Linked DNA regions of Oryctolagus cuniculus. Each later gene encodes a partner of the first gene's protein in a complex. Links are inferred from orthologs where the notes say so. Each region holds a gene or a part of one and is shown in the gene's direction. Other genes may lie near its edges. The genes, in order: TIMM21, CMC1, TIMM50, TIMM17A, SURF1 and TIMM17B.

Evidence for each region.
Region 2: TIMM21 (region 1) and CMC1 share a complex: the UniProt entries of both Homo sapiens proteins name them as parts of the MITRAC (mitochondrial translation regulation assembly intermediate of cytochrome c oxidase complex) complex. The link is inferred for Oryctolagus cuniculus from reciprocal best matches to the Homo sapiens genes TIMM21 and CMC1.
Region 3: TIMM21 (region 1) and TIMM50 share a complex: the UniProt entries of both Homo sapiens proteins name them as parts of the TIM23 complex. The link is inferred for Oryctolagus cuniculus from reciprocal best matches to the Homo sapiens genes TIMM21 and TIMM50.
Region 4: TIMM21 (region 1) and TIMM17A share a complex: the UniProt entries of both Homo sapiens proteins name them as parts of the TIM23 complex. The link is inferred for Oryctolagus cuniculus from reciprocal best matches to the Homo sapiens genes TIMM21 and TIMM17A.
Region 5: TIMM21 (region 1) and SURF1 share a complex: the UniProt entries of both Homo sapiens proteins name them as parts of the MITRAC (mitochondrial translation regulation assembly intermediate of cytochrome c oxidase complex) complex. The link is inferred for Oryctolagus cuniculus from reciprocal best matches to the Homo sapiens genes TIMM21 and SURF1.
Region 6: TIMM21 (region 1) and TIMM17B share a complex: the UniProt entries of both Homo sapiens proteins name them as parts of the TIM23 complex. The link is inferred for Oryctolagus cuniculus from reciprocal best matches to the Homo sapiens genes TIMM21 and TIMM17B.

Annotation. Positions count from the first base shown.
Region 1 is NC_091441.1:4,572,484-4,577,252, reverse strand, and holds the start of TIMM21 (mitochondrial import inner membrane translocase subunit Tim21), read left to right. Parts: upstream 1-1,577; 5' UTR 1,578-1,793; coding exon 1,794-2,094; intron 2,095-4,769. Other genes in the region: FBXO15 (F-box only protein 15), read right to left, coding at 808-1,124. UniProt on the Homo sapiens protein: Participates in the translocation of transit peptide-containing proteins across the mitochondrial inner membrane.
Region 2 is NC_091435.1:164,609,047-164,614,005, forward strand, and holds the start of CMC1 (COX assembly mitochondrial protein homolog), read left to right. Parts: upstream 1-1,759; 5' UTR 1,760-2,019; coding exon 2,020-2,038; intron 2,039-3,203; exon of another isoform or gene 3,204-3,386; intron 3,387-4,959. UniProt on the Homo sapiens protein: Component of the MITRAC (mitochondrial translation regulation assembly intermediate of cytochrome c oxidase complex) complex, that regulates cytochrome c oxidase assembly.
Region 3 is NC_091449.1:15,489,316-15,494,161, reverse strand, and holds the start of TIMM50 (mitochondrial import inner membrane translocase subunit TIM50), read left to right. Parts: upstream 1-1,694; 5' UTR 1,695-1,742; coding exon 1,743-1,850; intron 1,851-2,493; coding exon 2,494-2,653; intron 2,654-3,076; coding exon 3,077-3,108; intron 3,109-3,312; coding exon 3,313-3,334; intron 3,335-4,846. Other genes in the region: SUPT5H (transcription elongation factor SPT5), read left to right, coding at 255-350, 431-574. UniProt on the Homo sapiens protein: Essential component of the TIM23 complex, a complex that mediates the translocation of transit peptide-containing proteins across the mitochondrial inner membrane. Has some phosphatase activity in vitro; however such activity may not be relevant in vivo.
Region 4 is NC_091444.1:17,866,044-17,870,273, forward strand, and holds the end of TIMM17A (mitochondrial import inner membrane translocase subunit Tim17-A), read left to right. Parts: intron 1-216; coding exon 217-345; intron 346-1,078; coding exon 1,079-1,189; intron 1,190-3,188; coding exon 3,189-3,274; 3' UTR 3,275-3,641; downstream 3,642-4,230. UniProt on the Homo sapiens protein: Essential component of the TIM23 complex, a complex that mediates the translocation of transit peptide-containing proteins across the mitochondrial inner membrane.
Region 5 is NC_091432.1:235,374,940-235,379,674, reverse strand, and holds SURF1 (surfeit locus protein 1), read left to right. Parts: upstream 1-1,335; 5' UTR 1,336-1,348; coding exon 1,349-1,423; intron 1,424-1,507; coding exon 1,508-1,559; intron 1,560-2,037; coding exon 2,038-2,171; exon of another isoform or gene 2,172-2,206; intron 2,207-2,280; coding exon 2,281-2,363; intron 2,364-2,609; coding exon 2,610-2,801; intron 2,802-3,096; coding exon 3,097-3,169; intron 3,170-3,262; coding exon 3,263-3,425; intron 3,426-3,501; coding exon 3,502-3,583; intron 3,584-3,657; coding exon 3,658-3,727; 3' UTR 3,728-3,781; downstream 3,782-4,735. Other genes in the region: SURF2 (surfeit locus protein 2), read right to left, coding at 627-730, 936-1,090, 1,179-1,256; RPL7A (large ribosomal subunit protein eL8), read right to left, coding at 3,895-3,999, 4,073-4,142, 4,334-4,464, 4,646-4,725. UniProt on the Homo sapiens protein: Component of the MITRAC (mitochondrial translation regulation assembly intermediate of cytochrome c oxidase complex) complex, that regulates cytochrome c oxidase assembly.
Region 6 is NC_091453.1:34,071,735-34,076,580, reverse strand, and holds the start of TIMM17B (mitochondrial import inner membrane translocase subunit Tim17-B), read left to right. Parts: upstream 1-1,796; 5' UTR 1,797-1,934; coding exon 1,935-1,960; intron 1,961-2,787; coding exon 2,788-2,887; intron 2,888-4,846. Other genes in the region: PQBP1 (polyglutamine-binding protein 1), read right to left, coding at 1,131-1,197. UniProt on the Homo sapiens protein: Essential component of the TIM23 complex, a complex that mediates the translocation of transit peptide-containing proteins across the mitochondrial inner membrane.

The DNA of each region.
Region 1 (4,769 bases):
TGCCCTATTTAAATTCCAATCTTTCTCTCCTACCTAATTCTACATAATAGAACTTTTGCTAGTACTGTTACCGCCTTGTCACAGGCTGGTGGCACGCCTGGCGTTACAGCTCTTCCATCAAGAACGATGAGGAACAGGGTTGTGACCTGCAAACACGGTTCCTGGGGACACTGAGCCTGGAGGCCACGGAACCCGGCCCTGGAGACTGGGGTGGGGGCTTGAGTAGCTCGGCCAGGACCAATCCTTGTCTACACTTCGACGTTTGGCTATCAGAAGGCAGAATGCGCCGCGCTCCTGTATCTATCAAGTAGGGGAGCCTGGGGAGACCATCACCGCCGGCCCTGGGCAGGGGCGGGGGACGGGAACAGCTCGGGGAAGAGGCCGGAGGCAGACGCGGCATCCAGCCCCCGGCCCCTACCCCACCCCGGGGAGTCCAGGCCCAAGAGACCCCAGGAACACAGACCAGAGGACGAGCCTGCCGTCGGCCGGACGGGCTGCCCCGTGCACGAGGCGGGATGCGCCCTCGGAACCCCAGGGCCCTGAAAAGACGAGACTTCGGGGCGGGGGTCCCAAGATGTGGGCGGGGGCCAACCGCGTCCCGGGACGCACGACACCAGGACCTGACCCCGGACACTGCACTGCTTGTCCACAACCTGGAGCGCCCGCAAGTCCAGGACAAAGCGGCTGTCCCGCGTGAAACAGCCCGGGGAATAAAAACACGCGTGGGAGAGCGCGGGGCGGGGCCAGGGACACTCGAAGGCTTCCCGAGCCGCGGAGCCCCCACCCGCGGTTCCCCCCGACCGTCACCTAAGCCCCGAAGCCCCTGGGCACCGCGCGGCCTCCCCAGGGTTCTCGCAAGCCGACCCCCGGCCGCGCAGGGGCCAGTACAGAGCCTGGAGGCCAAGCCAGTGCTGCTGCAGGAGCCGACCGCGTCCGGTCGCCATGGAGACCCGGAGTCCCGCCCCGGGCGCGTGCGCAGAGCGTAGAGAGGCGGCGCGTGCGCAGTCCCCGGACACGCCCCCTTGGGGCGCCACCGCTTCCGGTGCGGCGTTCTGGGCGCTTCCGCGTCCCGCTCTTTCCCACGCCCCCGACGTTCCGACGCCGAGGACGCCCCTCAGGAGCATGCTCCGTGAGCTCCACTTGCTGTGTACTGTGTGGCAAACTCTTAAGAAAAAACTGAATTCTGGAGATGCGGGAACTACAGCCTCGGCCTGTACGGGCCCGCAACGCCACAGTCGGACGGATGTCCCAGTGTTCAGTCCTGTCTAGAAGAGTCAGGAAAACGCGAGTTGTAGGTTCCTCTTTTTAAACTTCGGGTTGGACCGTGCAGAGACCGAAGCAGGAATTCCTCACTAGCGCGGCCCCGCCCTCCTGTACTTGAAGGACGAGCGGCGCATGCGTCCCGCGCAGAGCGTCTGGGAGCCTTGAGAAGGCCGACGCGCCCGAGCGCCTTGCATTGTGGGAGTTGTAGTCCTTTTCTCGCCTTCCGCGCCCTGCGGCTGCGTTAGGAGCAGGGCTCGGCACTGCAGTTCCCAGGATGCTCTCGAGCTTCCCGGGTTACCTTGCGAAGGCGCCGCGGTGCGGTGTGAATGGCAGCGTAGAAGGGGGTCAGGTTTTAGGAGAAGGGAAAGCGAGCATAAACTTTTCTGGGGCGATGTTCCGTCGTAGGAGACGCCTCCCAGCACTGTGCGTGACGCGGGCCTAGGCACGTGTCCGGCTGGCTGCGTGGCGGACTGTGAGGCTCTGCTGGTTGCACTTGGCATCGGCCCCCGACGGGACAGCTTGCGGCGAGCATGATCGGTAACTTGCTCCGGGCTGCGCGGTGTGCGGAGAAGCTGCACAGGTGTTCGGGCAAGCGCTGGTTTTCGCCACACGTGGTGCTTCACAGATCGTGCCTGAAGCCCGGGCCCCGTTTGACATGGGGGCGGCAAGAGCCGCGGAGAACCCCGCGGCCCGAACCTGGCCTCGGCGCCGGCCAGAAGGCCCTTTGGACCGGGTGCCCGAGCCCCCGGAAGGCCGAGGAGGACAGCAGCAAGCAGGTGTCCGTGCACGGAGCTCAGGGAAGGGACCCGGCCGTCTCAGCCTCACAGAAAGGTAACAGAACCCGCGGTGATGGGAGCGCGGCCGCTGCCGACGATGCAGACGTGGCTGGCGGGTTGAACCAGCAGTGACAGCTGGGGTGGACGCCCACGGCGGCCTGCACGGACGCGGTGCTGGTCATGAATGTCACGTTGCATGTCACGTCATGTGACATGTCACGTCCGCACGGTGTCTAGGAAGCTTCTCTCGGCTTGAGTGAGCCCTGGTCCATGTAACAGAGTAGTTGGCTAAGCAGAAGAGAAAGCTGATCCGTTCATAGTAGGGAGAACTCTATGCAGGTCGACCCACGTGCACTTGTGTTGAGTAACTGCTGCTGTGCCGAGGCCCTGAGTTAGCCCCCGTAGACCACAGAATTAAAGGTGTCCGCAACACCCCTGGCCTGCGATGTTACATGCAGTCATGAGACGTACAAAACAGGAGGAAATGTGACTTGTAAGGGAAAACCAGAATAGTTTCACAGGTATTTTAAGTTTTCGTTTCTTCGTTTCAAAAGTAATTGAGGGGAGAGAAGCAAAGAAAGCAGTGTAGACCCCTGCCTATACCATGCAGAGATAAGGTGTATGTCCTTTCGATACAGATACATTTCCTAGTAAATTGTTTCCAAGTCTCAGGTCCTGCCAGATGTCTTGTACTCTACTAATGGGTCAGAACCAATCTGATTTTCATTCGTGATGGCGATTCGGCATGAAAGGCGCAGCTGCACGCGGACAGGAGTGGGAGTGGCAGACGGCCCGTGTGTCGGTCACCTGTTTTATGACAGGCTGGGCTCTTCGGAGTCCTTTCCCGACATGGACCCCGTTCAGAGGTGACAGACTTCCCGTCACTCAGTCGGTGGGAGCAGTATTCCCGGATGTGGAAGACGCTGGCTCCAGAATCCAAGGAGGCCTAACAGGTGTTGTGGTGGGAAGGGTAGGATGCGATTTCCCCTTTACTTGGGGTGGAACACCCTAGCACATCTCAGACCAGGGCCCTCTACAAGGCTGGGTGATGTGGTCGGCGAGGGGGCCGCTGCATCTCCACAGGCACGCCTTTCCCTCTTGGGGCCCTCGTCTTACCCAGCCTTCCAGTGCACTGCCCCTTACTACTTCTGGACTCTAAGACGATGGCGTCCATACTCTGCCAGCTGTCCAGAGCAGCGTTGTCCAGATGCGTGCTCTACAGTGATGGGAATGTTCTGTCTGCGTTGTCCAGCCTGGTAGGCACACGCAGCTGCTGGGCACTTGAATTTTCCAGCGAACTGAGTTTATCTTATTTATTTAAATGCATCTAAAACTACTCACAGCCATGGGTGGCCAGTGCCGATTGTGGCGGCCCAGGTTCAGAAGGCTCCAGTCCCTCAGGACTGTATATGATGAGATGGGAGAACTCGCAGTCCTAAGCAAGACCACAGATACACGCTGGTGTCTGCTCCTTCTCAGTGCTCTCCGGCTCGATCCCAGCGCGTGAGGCCGTGTTACTGTGCTCCCGGGAAGTCGCAGCATCTGGTTTTGCACCTGGGTTGCAGCTACTGCTGGGTTGAGTTCCCACTGAAGTACAGTCATTCTCTGGCCTCTTCCTGGGGTTTCTGTCAGTGGAAGACTGGTGATTGACGTGAGAATACGGTGGGTACTACAGCCCTCCGAGAGTCGCAGTGTCTCTGGCATGCCCCGGAGAAGCGATGCATTTTGATTTGCTGTCTTGGTTGGGTTGGAGGTGGTAGTTTCAGAGGCTTCTGTTAGACTTTCCCACTGTGATAGCTCTTCACCCGCCTCCAGAGAAACTCGAGTTACTGAATACTCCATTCCAGTCACACATTCGGAAATCAGGGAACTGACTACTGGGCAAGTCCCTGAGCTCAGCTGTGAACACTTTACAAGCCAGATGCTGTGCCGTGGCCCCCTACACTCCTAAGAGGGGAGCCCTGCGGCCTGGGTCCTTGGGTGCCATTGTGACTGCAGGTCCTTTAGTGGAGGACCGGTGAGTCATCGTATGCACTTGTCCAAGTGCCTCAGAGGGAGGTGGCCGTGGCAAGTGGGCTCCAGGTCTCAGTGACTCTGGTCTAGAAACTGGGGCAGTGATCGAACGACTGCCTGCAGCCACCGAATCACCCATAAATAATTTCTAATGATTATACAACTGAGCATCGTCCTTGTCAGCTGCCGTCAGTCTTCACGTGGCAGCACCATGTTCCCATGGACTGTTCATCTCAGCCGCTCTCTGTAGGTCTGGCACTGCCGCTGTAGCCTGGCCGTTCAGTGCGGTAGGTGCACTGATCCGTTACACGCTCCCTTTGTCCCTAGCACTGTCGGGGGACCCTACTCTTGAGTGATGTGACTGTGTGGCTCTTTACGGCTTTGGTAAACAGTGTTCTCTGGCCTCTGGTACTCACGTCCACTCCAGCATGCCCGTCCTCTGAGCGTGCTGAGCCTTCCCTCCAGTGTTGTTCTGTCCAGGGCCATTCTGTTATTTCCAGGAGCCTGGGACTCCATCCAGTCCTACTGTGTAGGCACCAGGGACCCACGTACTTGGACCATGTTTCACAGCTTTAGCAGGCACATTAGCAAGGAGCTGGATAGGAAATGGAGCAGCCAGGACTCAACTGGTGCCCGTATGGGATGCCAGTGTCACAGGCAGTGGCTTATCCCACTGCACCACAATGTTGGCCTCAGATGTGAATTTTAATGTGTAGA
Region 2 (4,959 bases), on another chromosome or scaffold:
TCCAGCCTTTGCAGCCATCTGGGGAGTAAGCCAGCAGATGGAAGCCCTCTCTCTGTCTCTCCCTCTGTGTGTAATTCTACCTCTCAAATCTCAAATAAAATCCTTTTTTTTAAAGAAAAATATAGGGAGACACACATTCTCTCTCTCTCTCTCTCTCTCTCTCTCTCTCTCGTGTGTGTGTACTTTGAATGTCCACTCTACATTCTGAGCACTTCTTTTTGCCTCCACAGGCTGTAAGCATGGTTCAACCTTTGCCACTCTCCCCAGGTAACTGCATTTTCTTCCTCATTGCTGTCTGTCTCGGTATTGCCCCATAATGAGCCACAAGGGCAGCTCATTCTAGACATGAATGGGCACACTGCCATGATGTTCTCATTTGTATGAGGAAAGGAATCACCTAGAAATCCTCTGAACGGCCTGCGCTAGTCTCCCAAGCCCCATCAGGACGCACAGATTCCTCTTTGCAATTACTCTCTCACCTACCCCTTTGTTTTACATTTCCACACATGCCAGCTCAGCCATTTTTCAGCTCCTGCCCAGACTAACGCAGTCGTGCCCCTGAGTGACTGCCTGCAGACCTCTTGGCTCTCTCCTCTCCACCTGCACCCATCCTGCACCATACTTTCATAAAACAGCCTTATAAAACTTTTACCAAATCCTGTCTTTCAGCTCGATCAGCCGGGTCTTTACACCCCACCTCTTCCTCAAGAAGGTTCGTCTTTGCCTTCCGAATTGGGTCTAAGCACATTTACACAGCATGCAAGAAAAGGACCCGATGTCCTGCCTGGCTGTAGGAAGCGCTAATTCTTCACCTTGGCACCTCAAGCTGCAGCTGTAATCGGGGCCCTAATGCCCAGCTAGGCCCTTAAACGGAAGACCTGCTGAGCCGAGACCCACTTTCCCAGCCCGGCTCCAGGGCTCCGCTCTTCTGCCAACTGACCAGGCGGAAGCAGCAGCAGGGGAGGAGGGACCGCAGGTAGGAGGGGAGGGGATCGTTTTGAAAGCCCTGAATCCCTTGCAGGGAAGAGGCAGCTGCTCCTTGTTTTTCTAAACATCTGTCCCATCTGCCCCCAGCCGCAGGAGCCTCGAGCAGGTTCAAGGTGGACTGGAGAGGCAGGCGCCCCGCGAAGGTTGCGTGGGAGCCGGGGCAGCTGAGCCTGCGTGGCCGCCGCCCCCGCCCCACTCCCGAAAATTCCTTCTGTGAAGAGCGGTAGGGGGAGTCTAGGGAGGACAGGCCGAATGCACGGAGTCGGTTTGAAACGATCCCCCGCCCCCAAAATGCTATGTCACAAAACCGAGGGACCCCTAGCTCTTATTATCGAGCGCCCCAGGCCGCGGATGTGGGGGAGAAACCGTGACAGCACGCTACCTCCGCATTTCACAGCGCTCCCCTGCAGGCACTGCCCCCCACCCCCACCCCCGGAGAAGGACCCTGTTTTTATTGTTATTTCCCCCTAGGACGCAGAACCCCGTCTGCAGCCTGGCTGGCGTGCAGTTTATGAATGAATGAAAAAACGAGATGATTCAGCCGGTTCGCAGATACAGCGTGGGAGGCTCGGGCTTAGAAAGCGGTGGCCAAAGGGAGCGCTGTCAGCAAACCCCCTAAACCCAGCTCCAGCCCACGCGGCTATCCCCGGGTGCTCGCTCAGGCCAAACGGAGGCTGCGCGCGCCCCGAAGCGCCCGCCCCCACGGCGCACGCGCAGCCACGCCCCCTCCCCGGGTCGCTCCCGCGGGGAGTCGGCTTCCACCCTAGTTACCGGGTTGTGGGCGGGGCCAAGGCGGCGCAGGCGTAACGGGCAGCGGAAGTAGGAAGTAGCGGACGCGATAAAAGGGCTCGTGGGGTCCTCGCTAAGGGCATTGCGCTCCTCCCCCGCTGCGTGTGTCGCCCCTCCTCTCTCCATCCTGGGGCTCCGGTCGCGGGACCCTCCGGGCGGCCGCACGTGTTGTCAGGCGCGGGCTCCTCCCCTCTCCGCCCCCTTCCCCGGAGCCTCGGCGCCGCGCGTTCCCTGCCCGCCGCGATGGCGCTCGACCCCGCAGGTACGGGGGTTGATGCGTGGTTTGCAGCGGGACGCCGGGCTGGTGCCGCGGGCGTCCGGGCTGGGCAAGGTCCGATCTGAGGTCGCGCCGCTTTCGCACACTGCCTTCACCGCCGGCTCCTGCCGTGGGGTTCGCAGCCGGCCCTGGTTGCTTCTCTCGGGCGAGGTTAGGGTTAGGTGAGGGGCTCTGGGTTTTGTTGTTGGAACTGTGGTCCGTTTGCGGCAAACAGACTTTTCCCTCCTCGGCTCAGACGGCTTTCTTCGTCGTCATTTTCGCTCCTTAGGGCCCAGACTAGACATTGGATGGTGTAGGCACCTTTGACCCAGCAACATTTCGTACTGGAGCCGGAGCTCGAGTTCACGTTGTCTTTGGGAATTCCCGGACCCCCGGCTCGTCCTCAGACACGGCGGTTCGAGGGTCCATTCCTGTGGCGAGTCGTCTCTCGGGGAAGGGGTCCCCAGGCTCTGAAATGTTCTGACTGTCGTGATTCCTCCTGCTTGCCTTTGCTGCAGAGTTCTGTTACTCTAAGGCGCCTCCTCGCAGAACCACACCTGCGTCTTGGGCGTTGAGGCAGTTTATGCAAGGGTGTAGATACAGAAGCCTCCTGGGGGGACGGTGATTGATCTGCCCACTCCTTTTTGTTGTTGTTGTTGTTGCTGTTAAAGATTTATTTTACTTATTTGAAATAATTACAGAGGGAGCTAGAGACAGAGGTCTCCCATCTGCTGGTTCACTCCCCCAGTGGCCGCAAACGCCAGAGCTGAGCCCATCAGGAGCCAGGAGCTTCTTCCCGGTCTCCCATGCGGGTGCAGGGGTCCAAGCACTCGGGCCGTCTTCCACTGCTTTCCTAGGAGCATTAGTAGGGAGCTGGATCAGAAGTTGAGCAGCCGGGACTGGAACCTGTGCCCTTATGAGATGCCAGCACTGCATGCTGGGCCTTTAACCTGAGCCCCGCCACCCCCCTTTCCCAATTCCTTTCATTTTATAAATACAAAGCCTCAAGGTGTTGGATGGTGATATGGCTCCAAACCATTTGGAGATTCCGAAGTGGAAAAGACACTTTTGGGACCCCCAGAGGACAAAATACACGCATAGTGTTCATTGAACCACTTTTTAAAATCAAGCTAAGTAGTCTCAATGACCTTTGATTTCTTTTACATATGAGGAAACGGAGGCACAGAGGTTAATGGTAGTGGTGGAGTTGGTAGAAGTGCAAAGGAATTCCACAGTGCATAATGATCAGACCAGTTTGTGGTTCAGCGATTGGGTCAGAATTCATGGAGCAATGAAACGGCGGATCTGGGCTTTGAAGAGTAGGATTTCCAGAGGTTGGAGTATCCTGTGTCAGGTATGTAGATACGCTGATGAAAAACCAACATAGGACTCATGAGTGACTATTTTTTCAATGGTTTATACTTGTTACTGCACATAATTTTTTTAAAAGATTTATTTATTTGAAAGTCAGACTTAACACAGAGAGAAGAGGCAGAGAGAGAGGTCTTCCATCTGATGATTCACTCTCCAGTTGGCCGCAAAGGCTGGAGCTGTGCAGATCTGAAGCCAGGAGCTTCTTCCAGATCTCCCATGCAGGTGCAGGGGCCCAAGCACTTGGGCCATCTTCTGCTGCTTTCCCAGGCCATAGCAGAGAGCTGGATTGGCAGTGGAGCAGCCGGGTCTCAAACTAGTGCCCATATGGGATGTGGGCGCTTCAGGCCAGGGCGTTAACCCACTACACCACAGCGCTGGCCCCGACCTAATTATTTTTGTTTTCAAACTATTTACAATTTGGCCAGCGAATTTCTTTATCTAGCTTCTGGAGCTTTGGGGGTAGTTTCCCATTTTGGGGAGCATTTTTTCTTTCTTCACATAGGATGTCACTGGCTTGCCACTTGGCCCGTTTTCTGAGACGTCCTGGTTCTTTTTATTTTGGTGTACTATTGCAGAACAATATCTGGTCACTCCGTGTGGGTTCCTCTTTTGTGTTTTACATTTGAGTGATTCATTAATGGAGTGCCCTTAGGGGGAAAAGCAAGGGAGTAAGGCGAACAGGAGAGTGAAGGGTTAGGATGTGGTTTCAGGGAAGGCTGTTGCATTAGTCAGCTTTTTGTTCACTACAACTACTTATCAAAGGTGAGCTACCTGTGAAGGAAGGCTTATTGTAGGGCCTCACAGTTTTGAAGGTTCACAGTCTAAAATAGGGCAAGTCCCTCTGGTTCAGCTAACTGGTGAGGCTGGGAGAGGGTTAGTGGAGTGCGAGGGGAGGAACAATCATGTGGTGATCCAGGGGGCAGAGGGAGACTGAGCCAAGCTCAGCTTTTATAAAGACCCTCCTGAGAGGGCTGTCTTTTGAGGCATGACCCGGATACCTCACATAGGTGACAGAATCCCAAGGACTTGAGCTGTGATACTTGTTGCCTTCCAGAGTGCAATTAGCAGGAAACTGGATTGGAAGTGGAGCTAGGATTCTAACCCAGGCACTCTAATGTGGAATGCAGGTGTCCAAAGATGTGGCTTAACAAGGTAGCTACCCAGGAGCCAAGTCTTACTCAAAATGTAGCAGCTGGTCTTAGCTAGTTAGTTCTGGTGCACCCACAAAGTACAAAGTCTGTCCTGTCTCATGGGCAACGGAGCTGAGCTTTATGCCCTCTGTCAGCCGCTGGTTACCTGTAGGAGCTGGAAGCAGGGGAAACTGTAAAAGATTACCATTGCCCAAGGGCAGTCCTGAGAAGGTTGCAGATGTGAGTGCTCCAGCATTCCCTGTCACAGGAAGATCAGCTTGATCCAAAAAACAAGTTGTCTGACTCTACTGGGAACCTTAGTTTGCACAGTGAGTTCAGGTAGTGTTGAGTCAGATAGGAAAGGGTCCTTGCACACATGTATGCACATACACAGGCGTGTGTCCCATCTCCGTTAAATTATTG
Region 3 (4,846 bases), on another chromosome or scaffold:
GGCCAGAGCTGGGGCCGTGGGGCACGAGTCCGAGAAGCTGCCCCCTTCTGGCCTGAAACGGCTGCATCTGGTGCTTCCCCGCTGATCCGGGCACCCCCTACTGCTGCATAGACCCAGGCCCCGGAAGCTGGCCCAGCCTGGCCTTTGCTGCCGCCGAGTCATCTTGGGAAAGTGACTTGCGTGTTGCGAGTGAGCCTGAATGCGGGCTCAGTCCTGTGCTGGACAGGGCAGCTGAGCAGGCTGTGCCCCTGCAGGGAGGCATGTGCTCCGTGTACCTGAAGGACAGTGAGAAGGTGGTCAGCATCTCCAGCGAGCACCTGGAGCCCATCACCCCCACCAAGAACAACAAGGTGAGGCCGGGGGCCGAGGGGCGGGGGCCGAGGGTGGGGGGTGGAGGACGCGGGGCCCTGACTCTGACTGCCTCCCGCAGGTGAAGGTGATCCTGGGAGAGGACCGGGAAGCCACGGGAGTGCTGCTGAGCATTGACGGTGAGGACGGCATCGTCCGCATGGACCTGGACGAGCAGCTCAAGATCCTCAACCTCCGCTTCCTGGGGAAGCTGCTGGAGGCCTGAGGCGTGCCTGGGGCCGAGGCGCAGGCAGAGTGGCCGGGCTGGCCGGCCTGGACTGCCTTGGTGTCCTCTCTGGGTCACCTCCCCCCCATGCTCCTAGGAATCAGAGTAGAGTCCGGAGGAGGGGCCCCACTTTCTTGTACCCCAGCCCCCGGCTTGCTTTTGAGTTACGATCTTTCAATAAAAAGCTGTTTGGTCAAAAGTGCTGAGCCTGGTCTTTTTTAAAATTTAATTTATTTATTTGAGGGGTAGATAACAGAGATCTTCCATCCACTGGTTCACTCCCCAAATGGCCACAACGGCTGGAACTGAGCTGATCAGGAGCCAGGAGCCTCCTGGGTCTCCCACGTGGGTGCAGGGGCCCAAGGACTTGGGCCATCTTCTGCTGCTTTCCCAGGCCATAGCAGGGAGCTGGGTTGGAAGTGGAGCAGCCGGGACTCGAACCGGCGCCCGTATGGGATGCCCGCCCAGCGCCGGATGCCTGAGCCTGGCCTTGTTTGTAAGTGGGGTCAGTTCTTACCCAAGCCTCAGCTTCCCCACGGAGGAAAGACCTAGGGAAAGGCGAGGAGAGCAGCGTCCAAGCCCCGCTCGGCAGGAGGAGGAGCAGTGGAGAGAACTGCCTGGGTCCCGAGCCTCCTTCCCTTCATTTGACACGGGGACAGCGCCACCTGCTGGCTCGCCCCACCTGCCGGGCGCTCAGCCCCGGTCTCCCGTGGAGTCGGCCCTGGAGCCGGGTATCAGACCCAGGTGATACGGTGTGGGACGCTGGGCGCCCTAACCGCTAGGCTACACGCCCGCTGCTGGTTTCACTTAGGGCAATTAGGAGGTGAAGGCAGAACCCCCCAGGGGCCGAGATGAGCTGATTCCTTATCAGTTTTTGGGGGCAAATCGGGTAGCCGTGAGTGTGACCCCTGCCCCTGCCACGTCCAGTTTCAGTACCAGTGGTGCTCCCCAGGACTGGAGCTAGGTGGCCATATCCCGGCTGACGGGCCCCGAGGACAGCCAGGACACTGGTCAGGAGCGAGCGCGCCGGCGGCAGTCCGCCCAAGGCCTTTTGGGTCTCTCGGGCTCCCGTCCGCCCGTCCCTCCTCTGTGCCCCGATTGGCCGCAGGCCCAGGTCGGGGCGGGCAGAGCGGGGAGACTGGGCGGGGCCTCGTGGCGTCAGCGCAAGATGGCGGCCTCGGCGGCGCTGTTCTCGCGCTTGCGGAGCGGGCTCCGGCTCGGCGCGCGGGGGCTGTGCACGCGGTTGGCGACGCCGCCCCCCGGGGCCCCAGACCAGGTGAGCGGGACAGGCCAGGCGCTGCGGGCGCGGCGGCCGCGCCTTGGAGTTTTAGACAGGGAGCTGCCGCCCAGTGGCTCTGGGATGCCGCACCTCAGGGTGCTGAATGGAACACTGCCCGCCCTTCGGGCCGGCTCCGTGCCTCCCGGAGCGAACGCTGCGCTCTCCTCCGGCCGGATGCTGGGGCCCGAGTGCACCCTCTGCACCTCCGCTCTCAGCCACGTGGGCGCCGGGGGCGGAGGGTCGCCTGCTCCCTACCTCGGGGACCACTCCGGCGCTAGTTGCGGGAGAGCCCCAGCCTGGCCTTGAGGTTTTCTTGTCCGCCTCGGGCGTGGGGCAGGTGAGCTGGACGTCAGGCGTCCAGTTCGACCCGCCTCCGTGCTGACGGGACCCAGCCATTCTGACCTCCAAGTCCGTGGCCTCCTTGCGCCACTTTCCCAACCCCCAGACAAGCGATCGCCCCTGCCCGCCCCCGCCCCTCTGGGCGTCCGGACGCCTTGACCTCCCGGCCCAACGCCCCGTGTGTGGGGCCCGCGGCGCTCCTGACACCCACGGCCCGCCAGCCCCCGCGCCCCGGGCTCCTTCCGCGGGACAGGCTAAGCGCCCTCCGCGCCGCAGGGCCTCACCCCCTTCTCCACCACAGGCTGCTGCGGAAATTGGGAGCCGCGGGGGAGCCAAGGCCCCGGGACCACAGCAGCAGCAGCCGCCGGGCTCCGAGGGTCCCAGCTATGCCAAGAAAGTCGCGCTCTGGCTTGCTGGGCTGCTTGGGGCCGGCGGGACCGTGAGCATCGTCTACATCTTCGGTGAGACGCCCCGGCCCCCCAGTTCTCTGTTCCCCTGGGGCCGCCCCTGGGCCACTCATCTTCACTCCCGGGCGCTTCCCTGCACAGGGCCACCAAGTAGGAAACCTGCTTTGGAAATCGGGGGTCTCCTTTCGTCTCTCTCACCCCTGTGTAAGGTTCTACTCTAACTGGTCGGCTCCTGTACGAGGCTGTGGGGAGCCACTGGAAGAGGGGAGGTGGGGAAGGCCTGGACCAGCCTCCTGGGCTGTGTCTCCTCCCTGCAGCCACAGTCCAGCACAGTCATCGCTCAGACACCAGGGGGCTCCGTCCCCCCCAACCCAGGAGGCCGTGTCTCTGGTGCACTTATGCCCCCTGTCCCCCATCTCCTCCAAGACCCAGGAGGCAGCGCCCAGCTCCTCTCCCTCACTCCTGTCTCCCTTGCAGGAAACAACCCTGTGGATGAAAACGGTGCCAAGGTGAGTGGAAAGAGACCAGAGGCCTTGCCAGGAGTCCCAGCCTGTGGGTGGGTGTCAGGGCCTCCTTTGGGTCCGCTCTGGCTCCTTTTGGGTCTAGGGCAAGCCCCTCCCTACCTGGAATCAGGCCCTGGAGATCGCTTTGCTGGGTGGTGGTGGGGTCTGCCTCTGCCACCCCAAACTTTGCATTTTCTCTCTGCTTCCCAGATTCCTGATGAGTTCGACAATGGTGAGTCAACAAGCAGAGACTGAGTCCCTGACGCAGCCAGCTCTGCCCATCTGGTGCCCCCAGCTCCTCCTTGCGCTGGGGGAGGGGAGCCAGCAGCTCGATGCTTTTCTGGGAGGGGCATCACAGAGACCTAGCCCTCAGAGAGCAGATGGTCAGAGCCAGGTGGGGGAGGGGAGCCCGGTGGCAGGGCCTGGGGACACCAGGCTGCTTATCCACAGACACGGCGTCTGCTGCCTTCGGTCTGAGCACCTGCCCCTCTCTGTGGCGGCCTCTGAGTTTACCCCCATTCAACCCGGCTTTGGATGGAGTTTGTTCTGCCAGATTGCAGAGTGTTGTTCCACCCAGCCCTGCCCGGGAGAGGCTGACATTGGTGCCTTCAGAAGGCCACTTGGCCTCTGCTGGGCGAGTTTGCACACAGGCACGGTACTGCACTAATTAAACTGGGCAAGCGGGCAGATGTGCTGTTTTAACTGGGCAGGTGTAGGACCATCCTGACTGGAACAAATCAACAGGCATTTCATTTGGTTCCTGGGCAGATAAACATCATGTTTATGTGTACTGCCTTAGCTGGTTTTAATAATGTGATTAAAGAAAAATTTATTATTTATTTGAAAGACACAGATCTCCCATCCACTGGTTCACTCCTCAAATATCTGCAACAGCTGGGGCTGGGCCAGGCTGAAGCCAGGGGCCTGGAGCTCAGTCCAGGTCTCTTACGCGGCAGGGACCCGAGGACTTGAGCCATCATCTGCAGCTCTCAGGGCACATGCACAGGAAGTAGAACTCAGGAGCAGAGCTGGGACTTGAGCCCAGATCCCGCTGAGTGGAATGGGGGACCCCCGTTGGCGTCCTGACTCTGTATCAAACACGAGCCTCTGTGCTATAGTATTGTTGAGACAGGCGCATCGGGAGAGCTGTGAAGCCCTGCAGGTACCTCCCCGCCTTCACAGAAGGTGTGTATTGTGAGAAAACTATGCGTGTGTTCAGTTGTTTTTACACCAAAACTACCTTTTAATTTTTTCCACCAACTTTGAAATACCTGCATCCTGTTTTAAAGTCATGGGAGACAGTCACAGGAGTTTGTGGTTGTGAGCTGCTGCAGGTGGGCTCTGGGGCCCTGGGTTCAGCTGCAGGTGGGCTCTGGGGCCCTGGGTTCAGCTGCCACGTGGACCGCCCACCTGTGTCCTGTGTCAGAGTGCTGATTCTAGCCAGCTGTCTGCCAATGCACCTGGAAAGCAGCGCTGATGGCTCATCTGCCCACCTGTTTGGGCCCCTTCTACTCGTGTGGGAGACCTCAATGGAATGCCTGGTTCCTGGCTTCAGCCTGGCCCAGCCCTGGTTGGTAGAGCCATTTGAGGAGTGAACCAGCTGATGGAAGATACCTCTCTCTCTCTCTCTCTCTCTCGCTCTCTCGCTCTCTCTCTCTCTCTCTCTCTCTCTCTCTGCCTCTCAAACGACTCAGCGTGTTTATTTAGAACAGATTGTGCACCCTCAGCCCTGGTGGCCCCGGGG
Region 4 (4,230 bases), on another chromosome or scaffold:
TTCCCAGGCCATAGCAGAGAGCTGGATCAGAAGAGGAGCAACTGGGTCTCGAACCGGCACCCAAATGGGATGCCGGCACTTCAGCCCAGGGTGTTAACCCACTGTGCCACAGCGCTGGCCCCAGTGTTGTTGTTTACATTTGTATTTGATTGTAACATTTTAAATAGAAGATGAAAAAGTGACTTTTAAGTTTTTTTTTGTTTGCTTTCAAAATAGGTAGCTTTGCAGTTTGGGGAGGTCTGTTTTCCATGATTGACTGTAGCATGGTTCAAGTCCGAGGGAAAGAAGACCCCTGGAACTCCATCACAAGTGGTGCCCTGACAGGAGCCATCCTGGCAGCAAGAAGTAAGCGATTGCTCTAGACTCCAGAAGAGGCCAGGCTTTGGGGGAACCTCACCTGTCCTGACGTGACGACCTCTAATACGTACAGCCGAACACTGCATGATGGGGTCTGGCGTGCCAGAGATGGCGTCTGAGAAAGGAAGAGGGTGTCTTGTTTGGAGCGTGTGAGGGTGAGAGCATGAAGTTCTGAGTTGTGTATCACAGTGGTCAAGAGCACTCCCAGTCCGGTGCTTTTTTTTATTAACTTTGTGACTGGCGTTTTACCAGACCTTGTTTCCTCACCCGTACTCTGGAATCGGTACCTGCCGCATAGGGTTGTAAGGAGTCAAGAGCTCAGAGCCATCTTTTGAAGCAACCCGGAATTCCTTTGAGTTTTCTGGTTTAGACTTAGGATGTACAAGTTTTCTGTAAAAGGTCTGATAGTAAATATTTTAGCCTTTGTGGGCTGTACGGTGTTTGTCACAACTGCTTTACACAGCATGAAAGCAATGACAGACGGCACCCAAGTGGAAGCACTGGCCGTGTTCCAGTAAAGCTTTCTGTACAGAACCAGGCAGTGGACTGTGTTTGACCTGTGGGCCCTAGTTTGCTGACTCTGCTCTGTCTTGAACAGTGAGAACGAAGGGTCTGGGTATGAGGGGAGCGGGTAGCCATATGGAAAGCTCTCTATTTTACTGTAGTCTTAACAGTCAAGTAGATTGCTATTAAAGAATCTCTTTGTTATTAATATCTTCAGATGGACCAGTGGCCATGGTGGGGTCAGCCGCGATGGGTGGCATTCTCCTAGCTTTAATTGAAGGTGCTGGCATCTTGTTGACAAGATTTGCATCTGCACAGTTTCCCAATGGTAAGTCTTCTTTCTCCTTAATACCACAGCTCAGACATTTTGGGATGGTTTCCTGGTGTTATAGAAGAGCATATTTTTTTAAAAAAAAAGATTTATTTTATTTATTTGAAAGGCAGAGTTACAGAGAGAGATAGAGACAGAGAGAGGTCTTCCATCTGCTGATTCACTCCCCAGATGGCCACAACGGCTGGAGCTGTGCCGCTCCGAAGCCAGGAGCCAGGAGCTTCCTCCAGGTCTCCCACGTGGGTGCAGGGGCCCAAGGACCTGGGCCATCTTCACTGCTTTCCCAGGCCATAGCAGAGAGCTGGATCAGAAGTGGAGCAGCCGGGACTAGAACCAGCTCCCACATGGGATGCCAGCGCTGCAGGCCAGAGCTTTAACTTGCTACACCACAGCGCCAGCCCGAAGAGCATATTTTGTCTAGTACAGTATGGTAGCTTGCAGCCTCTATATTATGTTAGTATGCTGTGGTTCATGAGGACTATGATAATAACAGGCTCTGGGTCCAGGTGGAAAAGTGAGCGTGAAGGTGATCGCTATGTTTCCCATCAGTTACTCTGTTTTCATCTTTAGAGTGCTCGTTTGGTTGTATCATGAAACTTCTGATCATTTTAAAGGTGCTTGAAGAAGGTTCTGCAGATGTGTAACAGTAATGACAGCTTAGATACATCTGTGTGCCAGGTCCTCTTGTGGCCTTGTGCCGTAGTGGACAGGACAGTCCCTGCACTCAAGAATTTATGTCCTGAGAACACATTAAAGCTACGTGAGATCCTGTCAGATTATGTCCCTGCTTTGAAGAGAATGAAAGCGGTGGAAAGGAAGCCTGCTGGGAGGGTCTCTGAGAAGCCAGTGTAATTTGTTGCTAATTGTAACAGGTGAATTGTACCCAGTGATCAGGATCAGGAGTTTCCTGTTTTCAGAAGGTCACAGATAGATACAGCAAACAGTTACTTTCTGCTAAATGATTAGTCTTGGTTACTTTTAAATTTTTTCCTTGAAATCTCCCTTTTGAGTACAAAATTCGGCATTTATGGATAATCAGCCTGAAAGAGATGAGTTTTATCTTTAGATGGGAGATGTTTCTGAAAGCCTGTGTAGGAGGGAAGTTGTATTTTTCAGTTCTCATACATGAGTTAACCATATTTTTCCAATTATCTTACATGAGAAAATTATTAACACTGAAAGTATTAGGTAGAACTGAGGGTAGCGTTAGGTGTGTCTCCTGGTAACAGTGGTTGTCCTTGGTGTCTGCCATATCCAGTATCAAGTGTTCTGAACGAACAGGTCCTGCTTCACAGAGAAACAAGAGTACAGCGCTGGAGCGAAGCATCGACACCTTCCAGGAGTTTTATACTGCCTCCCTTCTCTGTCCAGATGACTTTTTTAGTCTGCTTCAATTTCCTTAAAGGAAAAAAGATTAATTATTCATCTTTTTTATTCAAGAGCTGCCTTTCTCCTTAGTTCATAGAAACACCGCCCCCTCCCCCATTCTGTAACAGCTGAGACAGCAGGACTGTTGTAAGGGGGCCGGGGGTGTCTTGCCATTTCAGAGGTCGTGCCCCACTTAACCGCTTACATGCAGTGGACTGCAGAGTTCTCTTACAGTGTAGCCAGGGTACTTAAACTGTGTGACAGTAATTTTAAATAGCAGCTGACAGAGAAGTGCAGATGGGACAGGGTCCTCCCGCCTTGCTCCATGGCAGTTTGCGGCTTGTGACAGAAGAGGCTTCTCGGGTGTGAGCCTCACCTCTGGCTGTGACGGATCCGCCCAGCTTCCCCGGCACAGCTGAGGAGCCCGCGGGAGGCCAGGCTGTCCTTGATGGACTGGGTCTGAAGGTTCTCTGGTCCTTTTGTGGGAGTTACGTCGAGTTACAGCGACATTCAGGTTGCAGCTCTGAGGTAGACCTCAGTTTGACTTAGCTGCTCTGTCATCTAGAGACTTGCTCGTTTGAATTACGTCCTACGCAGGTCATTCTTAAATCCTCTTTACTAATTGCAGGTCCTCAGTTTGCTGAAGACCCCTCCCAGTTGCCTTCCGCCCAGTTGCCGTCCTCACCATTTGGAGACTATCGACAATATCAGTAGGACTTCTTGCCTGGGAATTACTCGGCAGTGAGCTGGAGGTCAAGAAGCATTTCAGAAGACCAAGTTACAGTCTTTTTAACCATAGATGGGACAGCTGTGGCCGAGCAGGCTGTGAAGAGACATTGAGCACTTTTTCTATTTAAAGGAACATGTGAAGTATTAAAAAATAATACATTTATTTATTCACACTTGGATTGCATTTGTGATCAAAATAAATGTCTCCTATCGTTAAAAGAGAATCTAAGTGCTTAGAAGAAGAAGGACCAAAGGGCAAGAGGCAGTGAAACGCGCCAGCCGTTCCTGGGAGCGTCTCTGCCTGGTCCAGTGTGTTCTGTTATCCAAACAATAAACAGCTTCTGGAACTCGGTCTGTCTTTTAAGATAAGTTGTGTGGTTCTGCGTTTCATGCTCACGTATTGATTAACACACACTGGATAGTTAGCCCTCATCTCACTCGCAGGGAGCCATGCGTGAGAACTAGGCTAGTCAACATGGATCTTTTCACGGGAGATTGCTTTACGGACGCGGTTTTTACTTTGAAAGCACAGTGCGCATGTCTTGGTTAGGGGGTTGTTCAGTAAACGTTCTCTTACCTTTAGAGCTCCTGATCCTCAGGAACCTCATCAGAAGCAGCTTGCTTCCGGCACACCTGGTTCTGTAGGAGAAGCCTTCACGGAGGCCGCAGTGGCTCTGGGAGAGCCTGGTCTTCACTGGGTGCTTAAAAATAAAGGGTGTGCCGCTGCTAGCGCGTCCCACATCCCCTGAGCTTTTTCTGGGCTCTGCTCAGGCCTGGGAAGAGACCATTTTCCTGACTGTTGGAAGGGGTCTGTGGTGCACAGAAGGATGTTAATAATTCCCACTTCCCTACATTTGTGTCCCTTTATTATTATTTTAAGATTTTATTTATTTATTTGAGAGGTAGAGTTATAGACAGTGAGAGGGAGAGACAGAAAGGTC
Region 5 (4,735 bases), on another chromosome or scaffold:
GCCGTGAAGCCTCGTGGCCACCGCGCTGTCCCCTCTGGGCCCTCCCAGGTGCCTCACCCAAGAGCCGCCCTTCCTCACCCACTTTAACACATTCAAGGCAAACCCCAATTCACCACTTCCTGTCTCCGGCAGGAAACCAGACATTCACACTTGGGGCCGAAGCCGCCGCCTGCAGTGCCCGCATCCCATGTGGGCGCCGGTTCGAGTCCCGGCTGCTCCACTCTCTGCTGTGGCCTGGGAAAGCAGTGGGGGACGGCCCAAGTCCCTGGGCCCCTGCGCCCGCGTGGGAGACCCGGAGGAGGCTCCTGGCCTGCCCAGCGCTGGCCATTGTGGCCATCTAGGGAGTGAACCAGCAGATGAAGACCTCTCTCCTGCTGCCCTGTAACCCCCACTCCCAGAACACGGCTCTAAGCGCGAGCTGACGCCGTGTGCAGCTCTCCCCCAGCCCCAGCCCCTCGTCCTGGGCGCCCCCACCCCATCCTCAGACCGTCAAGGCCCCCTCCTCCTCTGCCTGCCGGGTGCGCTGTCCCCTCCGGCCTCCCAGAGCCCCCGGGAGCCCTCCCGAAGCTCACGCCGACCGGGTCTGGGGTCGGGCCGTCCTCCCGCCCGGGCGCGGGGCGACTTACACCGGCGCAGGGCTCGCTGGAAGCGGCGGCCGCGGGTGTGCCTCAGCACGTGCTCGGGGCACCTGTTGAGGTGCCGCAGGGTGAGCTTGCAGAACAGCTGGCGCCTGCGGGGCGGGGCAGGGGGCGGTCAGCGCCGACCAGCAGCCCGGGCGCAGACCCGCCGACCCAGGCGGGCCAGCGGAAGCCGGGCCCGGGCCTTCGCCACCACCCGCTCCCCTCCGGCCCACTCACAGAAACAGCCGCGACCCCCACCCTGTGCCGCCCCGCGCTCAGGCAGGGCGCTCCCGTCCCGGCCCCGGGGCCACCCACGGGCTCTTGGTGCTGGGCACGATGTGAGGCTCGAACTCGGCGTAGTCGAAGGCGGGGGAGGCGCGCGCCAGCCGCTGGTACTTCCTGCCGCGGGTGTAGACCTGCAGCTCGGGCAGCCGGCAGGGCAGCTCGTGGCCGGTCAGCGCGCACTTCACCTGCGGCGGGACGGCCAGAGGTCGGCGCCCTGCGCCCCCGCCGCGCCCGCGCCCGTGCCCGCGCCCCGGCCCTCCCCGCCTCCCGGACCTTGCGGGCGCCGGGCAGCAGCCGCAGGCTCGGGTGCTCGCACAGGAACGCCCGCACCTCGGCCGGCAGCGCGTCCATCGCAGGCGCGCGCCGCGTGCGGGGGGCGGGCCGCGGGCCGACCCGGAAGCAGTTGCCCTCCGCCCCGGAAGCTCCCGCAGGCCGCCGGTGCGATGGCGGCGGCGAGTCGGCTGGGGCTGCGCGCGGTGGGCCTGGGGCCGCTGCTGCGCGCGGCGTGCGCGGGGCGGGTGAGCGCGGGGCGCCGGGGCCGGGCGGGGCGAGGGAGGGTGGGAGCGGCCCCGGGGCTCAGCCGCCGCCCCCCGTCCCCGCAGGCCCCCGCCACCGCCTACTGGAGGAGCGCCCCGGGGGTCCTGCCGTGCCCAGGTGAGGGGGACTCGGCGCGGCCCCGAGGGGGTGTCGTGGGAACCCGGCTGGACGGTGTCGCTGCTGGCCGAAGCGGGAAGCCGGCGCCGTGCGTTTGTGAGCTCAGCGGCTGCAATCGCCGCAGCGCGCACGGAGCCCGGCGACCCCAGGCCCGCCGTCGGGACCACCCACCACCCCCGCGCGTGCCCTCTGGGTACCACCGCCCCGGGTGCACACGGAGCCCGCGGCCCGGCCAAGCCACTTGGCGAGTGCGTGCGTGAAGGCCTGCATTTCTGGGTGCAAGGCTTGGGGCGGCTCCGGGAGCTACCCAGGGCCATGGCACCGGCCACCAAACGCGCCCCGGGTGTGTGCGTGGGCCGGGCGCGGGTGCTGCCTGCTGGACCCCCACAGGTTAGGGCTGTTGAGGTCTGCGCCCCGCTGTCCCTGGCAGCGTCGCTGGCCTGAGTTAGCGCCCCGGTTCTGTCTGACCCCGCGGCAGGGGCGGCCGGGAGGCCGAGCAGGTGCGGCAGCTCCGCGGCGGACGCGCCGGCCTCCAAAGCAGAGGACGACCGCCTCCTGCAGTGGCTGCTGCTGCTCATCCCCGTGACTGCCTTCGGCCTGGGGACGTGGCAGGTGAGGAGGGGTCCTTCGGCCTGGGGACGTGGCAGGTGAGGAGGGCCCGGCGGGACGGCTCCGGGCCGCACGACCGTGGTCTGGGGCTCAGGCCGGGTGTCCTCGGCAGGTCCGGCGCCGCCAGTGGAAGCTGAAACTGATCGAGGAGCTGGAGTCCAGAGTGATGGCCGAGCCCATCCCGCTGCCGGCCGAGTGAGTGTGGCCGCCCCCTGCTGGGCTGGTCGTGGACAGGACTGCCCGGCACCGGCTCCTCTCCGTGCGCAGTGATTGGGGGTGGGGGGGTGGGTCGTTGTCATTGGAGAGCGCGCCCGCGTGGTTACACATCAGCACGCAGCGTGCGTCCATCAGCTGTGCAGGACGCTGGCCTGGGCTGCAGACCCACACTCCCGGGCCGCCCGGGCTGCTCTGTGCCAGCCTGCACCCCCTGTCTCCGTGTAGTCCCATGGAACTGAGAGGCCTGGAGTACAGGCCAGTGAAGGTCAGGGGCCACTTTGACCACTCCAAGGAACTGTACATGATGCCGCGGACCATGGTGGACCCTGCCCGCGAGGCCCGGGAGGCCGGCCGGATCTCCTCCTCCACCGAGAGCGGGGCCTACGTGGTCACCCCTTTCCACTGCACGGACCTGGGGTGAGCAGTGGGCAGGTGCACACGGGATTCCCTGCCTCCTTCCCCGCCCCCGCCGTGCAGGTCGATGGCCCCCACCAGCTAAGCAACCCTGGTTTACACTGCCTGGAGCTCCCTGAAGGGGGAGGGTGCGTGGCAGCCCCAGCTGTGCCTGCAGGGGGGCAGGCGGAAGTGAAGGGGGCTCCGGCCACCCCAGGCCCTGGTGACGGCTGGGGACGCCTAGCTGGCCACCCAGTCTGTCTAGGCTGGACACCTTCACCCGGATCTTCCTCAAGGACCCTTCCCCGCCCACCTCTAGGGTCACCATCCTGGTGAACAGGGGATTCGTCCCCCGGAGGAGGCTGAACCCGGACACCCGGCAGAAAGGCCAAGTAAGCGGCCACAGCTCTGGCCCTGCCCTCCCCCGGTCTCCTCGGTCGTCCCGGCCCTGGCCTGCTGCCCACTCGGCTCTTGCTGCCCTGCAGGTGGAGGGCGAGGTCGACCTGGTGGGGATGGTGAGGCTGACGGAGACCAGGAAGCCCTTCGTCCCTGAGAACAACCCCGAGAGGAACCACTGGCACTACCGGGACCTGGAGGCCATGGCCAGGGCCGCGGGCTCGGAGCCCGTGTTCATTGACGCGGACTTCAGTAGGTTGAGGCCACCCAGCCCGGGTCTGCCCACGTGGGGGGGGGGTGCAGGGCAGCAGCGTGCCTGTTCCTGCAGAGAGCACCATCCCTGGGGGGCCCATCGGCGGGCAGACCCGAGTCACCCTGCGGAACGAGCACCTGCAGTACATCGTGACCTGGTGAGCGCCCCCTGCCCAGCCCCGCCCTGCCCCAGCCGCCAGAGGCCTGGCTGACCACTCGTGTCGCACTGCAGGTACGGGCTGTGTGCGGCCACCGCGTACCTGTGGGTGAAGAAGTTCCTGCACCGAGCGCCTGGCGTGTAGCAGCCCTGCCCCCACACCCCCCCCCCCCCGAATAAAGCCGCCGTGTGAACCAAGGCCCTGACCTGAGCCCTGCGTGTGTGTGTGTGTGTGTGTGTGTGCCCGCGCGTCACTGAGTCAGGGACACGGGCTGGGACAAACCAGCTTTATTATGTACAAGCAGCCCGCGGTCACCCCAGCTTCGTGGCCAGCTCCTTGGCCTTGGCCTTCTCCAGCTTGGCGATGCGAGCCACGGACTTGGGCCCCAGGACGTTGCCTCCCCAGTGGCGGCGGATCTGCAAGGACAGGGGCGGTCAGCCTGGCCGGCCGCGCGGCTGGACAGGGAGGGGCGGGCGCTGCGGCGCTCACCTCGTCGTATCTGTCGTTGTAGTTGGTCCTGATGGCCTCCACCAGCTTCGCCAGGGCCCCTTTGTCCTCCCTGACACACGGGGGGGGGGGGGGGGGGGACACGTGGTTGGTTTTCACTCGCGGGCACAGGGCGGCCTCTGCCTGGGCGCGGGCGCCTCAGACGTCACTGACCACACGGCTGGTTCAGGTGAAGAAATTCTCGACCATCACTGGCGGGGGCAGGGCTGGGGGGAGGGGGCCTGGGGGGACGCGGGCACTTACGAGTTCACCTGCGTGAAGGCCACGGTGGTGCAGGTCTTCCGGTGCACCAGCCGGCCGAGCCGGGCCTTGCCCTTCAGGATGCAGTAGGGGACCCCCATCTTGCGGCACAGGGCGGGCAGGAAGACCACCAGCTGCGAGGGGGAGGCGCGGCTGAGCGGGGCCCCCCCGCGGACCCCCGCCCCGGGCCGCCGGCCGCAGCTGCTCAGGGTTAAAAAGCTCGTGTGTGCGCTTCAGAGCTGCGCTCAGCGCGGACGTGTCGTCATCGCAGCCGCGCGGGGCCCTCCCCGCAGCCGCGCCCCTGCCCGCACCCACCTCGATGGGGTCCACGTCGTGCGCGATCACCACCAGCTGCGCCTTCTTGTTCTCCACCAGGGTCGTGACGGTGTTCACGCCTGGAGCCCG
Region 6 (4,846 bases), on another chromosome or scaffold:
GGGAGTGAACCAGAGGATTGAAGAGTTTTCTCTCTCTCTCTGCCTTTCTGTAACTCTACCTTTCAAATAAATAAATCTTTTCTTTAAAATATTTTTAAAAGATTTTTATTTGAGGCCGGCGCCGCGGCTCAATAGGCTAATCCTCCACCTAGCGGCGCCGGCACACCGGGTTCTAGTCCCGGTCGGGGCGCCGGATTCTGTCCCGGTTGCCCCTCTTCCAGGCCAGCTCTCTGCTGTGGCCCAGGAAGGCAGTGGAGGATGGCCCAAGTCCTTGGGCCCTGCACCCCATGGGAGACCAGGAGGAGCGCCTGGCTCCTGCCATCGGATCGGAGCGGTGCGCAGGCCGCAGCGTGCCGGCCATGGCGGCCATTGGAGGGTGAACCAACGGCAAAGGAAGACCTTTCTCTCTGTCTCTCTCTCACTGTCCACTCTGCCTGTCAAAAAAAAAAAAAAAAGATTTTTATTTGAGTCAGAGTTACAGAGAGGCAGAGGCAGAGAGAGAGATACACAGAGGCAGAAAGAGAGAGAGAGAGAGACAGAGGTCTTCCATCTGCTGGTTCACTCCCCAGATGGCCACAATGGCCAGAGCTGCGCTGATCCAAAACCAGGAGCCAGGAGCTTCTTTCCAGTCTCCCACACGGGTGCAGGGGCCCAAGGACTTGGGCCATCTTCCACTATTTTCCCAGGCCTCAGCAGAGAGCTGGATTGGAAATGGAACAGGCTGCACTTGAACCAGCCCATTTGGGAAGCCGGCACTGCAGATGGCAGCTTTACCCGCTACACCACAGCACCAGCCCCAAATGAGTAAGTCGAAAAAAACAACAACATCCTGGACTTGACACATAGCCTATTAAATACTATGCATTTACCTCCATGTGATTCGTGGAGGCCCGAAATTTGCATCAGTGTTGTGTATTGTTAAGAATGAAATATGCATCTTTTCAACCTCCCCCTCCCCCCACAAACACACACATTGCATGGTTTGCAAAAGGAATGGACATCAGGAATCCTTGCCATGCCACGGCTTAGAGCACAGAAGGTCCACGCTGAGTGTTTAGTGTCCATATCAATGAAAAAAGGGCCTATCAGGCTTGATACATGATACGCCCATCTGCTCTTAGCTCTCTTACCAGGCTCCAGATGTTTGAGGATGCCTCTCTTAGCCAAGCGAGTCTGCAGCGCGACGGGCAGCGGCATAGCGGGTGACAGATCTGGGGACAGACAGACTGATGAGGATTCAAATCTGGATCCCATAACCCAGAGCTCATCCCTCCCGTAGCATGTACTCATCGGACTCTCACCTTCCCAAATACACCAGGAGCTAGCTGGGCGGACTCAACCTATGCGCTAAAACACGAGAGACAAGAGGCTTGCAAATGTCACAAAACTCCTTCCAGCCGCTCACTTACTAGGCCCGGAGCTCCAGGATCCACTTCCTCTCCCGGGCTCCACCCACCGCCAAAGGCGCCAAGCGCAGCTTCAGAAACTGGCTCACCCAACCTCCCTCAAAGACTGCTGGGTGGGAAAAACCAAAGCCCTGGGGTGGGGGAGCGGAATGCAGCCCTTCCTCCAGCTCTGCAAAACCATGCCCCCCTCCCCCTCCCCGCGTTACCAGTACAGTCGGGCAGGTAGAAAGAACAGCCTCCTTCCTCTCGCCACTGCTCTGATCACCAGGACCACACCACTCGTTTCCCCCAAAGCACACAACGGCGTACTCAATACCCGAGCCAAGACGTAACTGGAAGACGCTGGGACTGCAGTGGAAAGATGACGTTATCCTGGGTGTCCAATGAGAAGCGTCCTGCGTTTGACGTGGCGAAGCCACCCAATCGCTGTCCTGGGATAGGCGAAGAGCTAGAGCGCCTGTGGTGCGTTTCCACTGGGGGCGTGGCCCACAGGATTCGGGCCTGACTGTGCCTCCAGACGCCGGCGCCATGGAGGAGTATGCTCGGGAGCCTTGGTACGGCGATGGGCACAGGCATCGGGACTGTTGCTGCCCCAAGACCAGCCATGGGAGGCGGGCGGGGGAGGCACCGGCCGCACAGTGCGGCGTCCCAGATTAGGGAGACTTAGAATCTTCTCGCCTTCCGCTCCCTGTACTTCCTTCCTTTCGGGGTTCTTTAAAAGGGGCCACAACTGTGTGCCCAGAGAAGGGGCGGTACAGGACGAACCACGCCATGTTGTCCCTGGCTTTGTGGCTCCTGTTCCTCTTTGTTAGCGAGCAGAGACGCTGGTCCAGTCCATTCCAGCGTGGGTGGAGGGTGGCACGCATGGTTTTTCCCAGGTCGCTTGTGTGAATCGGGGCGGGGCATGCGTGAACCTATTGTGGGTGAGGAGGGGTGCTGGATTTTCCCAACGGGCCTCTGGGTTTTTCTCAGTTGTGCTTGGTTTAAGAGGAGGAGGGGACAAGGCTTGGTTGGATGCCACTGTCCCAGAAGGGGCTGTCACCTCGTTTTTAATAACTAGCCAGTTAACACTTCCGTAACCCTTACTGAAATGCGCCAACTCTACATGCCTCAGTTCATTTAATATTTGCTAGTAAAGTAATTGGCTGATTCCTTGGATGCCTGCAAAAGGTGATCAAGGCAGAGACTATTATTTTTCCCCTTTTGCCCCATTTCTCGATTTCATCAGGGAAAAAGAATGACAGAACTAGCTCGTTGTTATCTGAAGTGTTTCTTCTCACTCACAAACTTGCCATTCCAGTGACTGGTTTCTCCCACTTGGAGAGAGTCCAGGGAGGGGAGGGGCTCCCATTAACCCCAACCTTCCCTTCCGGTTTTTCAGCCCATGGCGAATTGTGGATGATTGCGGTGGAGCCTTCACCATGGGTGTCATCGGCGGCGGAGTCTTCCAGGCCATCAAGGGTTTCCGCAACGCCCCTGTTGTGAGTCCTGGCCCACCGGGTGGTGTGGGGGTCAGCAGCCTTGCCCACATAGGACGCTACTCTAAAAGCTGCTTGGAGCTGCCAGGCCAATGCACTTAACTTCTTCTGGTCCCTATTCACCTACTATGTGCCAGACCTGGCTCCTGGACCTGGGGAACTGCAGATGTGACCTCTTGTCCCCTTCCCCCACCCAGCTGGACCTCCTCGGTGGAAATGTGCTGTAAAAACATTCTTCCCCAGTCCCGAGTGTGTGTGTGTGTGTGTGTGTGTGTGTGCAAAACCAAATAGATTTTAGAGGCAGATGCTGGGTCTTCAACCTGGATGGAGTGAAGTGACAGAAGGAGGACAGCCTTAAAGTTGAGAAAATCATTTTAATTTAACATACTTCGGTTTATTTCCCTGACTCCCCTCCCCGCCAAAAAACAAAATGTCATCAAATGTCATGGCTTTATGTATCACCATTTGTCATGATCTCTTGATTTATTTGAGAGCCAGAGGGGCCAGGAGAGAGCACAAACGAGCAAGAGAGCACACTCCCGGGCCGGCGCCGCGGCTCAATAGGCTAATCCTCCGCCTAGCGGCGCCGGCACACCGGGTTCTAGTCCCGGTCGGGGCGCCGGATTCTGTCCCGGTTGCCCCTCTTCCAGGCCAGCCCTCTGCTGTGGCCAGGGAGTGCAGTGGAGGATGGCCCAGGTGCTTGGGCCCTGCACCCCATGGGAGACCAGGAAAAGCACCTGGCTTCTGGCTCCTGCCATCGGATCAGCGCGGTGCGCCGGCTGCAGCGCGCCGGCCGCGGCGGCCATTGGAGGGTGAACCAACGGCAAAGGAAGACCTTTCTCTCTGTCTCTCTCTCTCACTGTCCACTCTGCCTGTCAAAAAATAAAAAAAAATAAAAAAAATAAAAAAAAAAGAGAGCACACTCCCCAAATGTCCACAACAGCCTGGGCCAAAGCCAGGAGCCAGGTACTCAATCCAGCTCTCTCAGATGGATAGCAGGAGCCTAATGACTTGAGCCATCACCTGCTACCTTCCAGGGTCTGAATTCACAGGGAGCTGGACTCAGGAATTGGGGCTGGAAGGCATTTATGTTAAGCTGCTGCTTTTGACACCAGCATCCCATAGCAGAGCTCTGGTTCAAGTCCCACCTGATCTGCTTCTGATTCAGCTCCCTGCTAATGCGCTTGGGAGGGCCATAGAAGATGGCCCAGGTATTTGGGTCCCTGCCACCCACATGGGAGAGACTCAGATGGAGTTCCTGGCTCCTGGCTTCAGCCATTTGGGGAGTGAACCAGCAGGTGGAAGACCCCTTTTTCTGTTTTTCCCCCTCTCTCTGTCCCACTGCCTTTCAAATAAATAAAATAAATCTTAAAAACAGGAACTAGTGGTGGGGATCAAGCCCAAGCACTCCAATATGGGATGTGGGTGCTTTAACCAATAGGCCAAATGCTTGCCCCAGTCTGTAATTTTTAAACAAATGTTTTATTTATTTCCCTCTACTTGAAAGGCAGAGTGATAGAAAGAGAGAGCGCCCATGCGCTGGTTTACTCTTCAACTGCCCACCACAGCCAGGACTGGACTAGGCTGAAGCCAGGAGCCCGGAATTCCATCTGGGTTTCCCATGTGGCTGACAGGGGCACAGGCACTTGAATCATCATCTACTGCCTCCCAAGATGTATTAGCCGGAAGTTGTTTAGGAAACAGAGCAGCCTGGACCTGAACTGGCACTCACATATGTGATGTTGGTATCCAAAGCAGGGCCTTAAGCCACTGCACCACAAGGTCCAGTCCTCTGCAGTTTTTATATGTAGCTCTGTCCCTCCTCTCAACTCCTGGAACTCCCTTTCCCAGATCTTTGTGTTTCTCATCGTCACAATTTCAGCACAAATGTCCCCTTTGTGAAGAGGCCTTTCCTGTCCCTCAGCCATGATCACTTCTCTTAACCTGTCTCCTCGGAGTGCA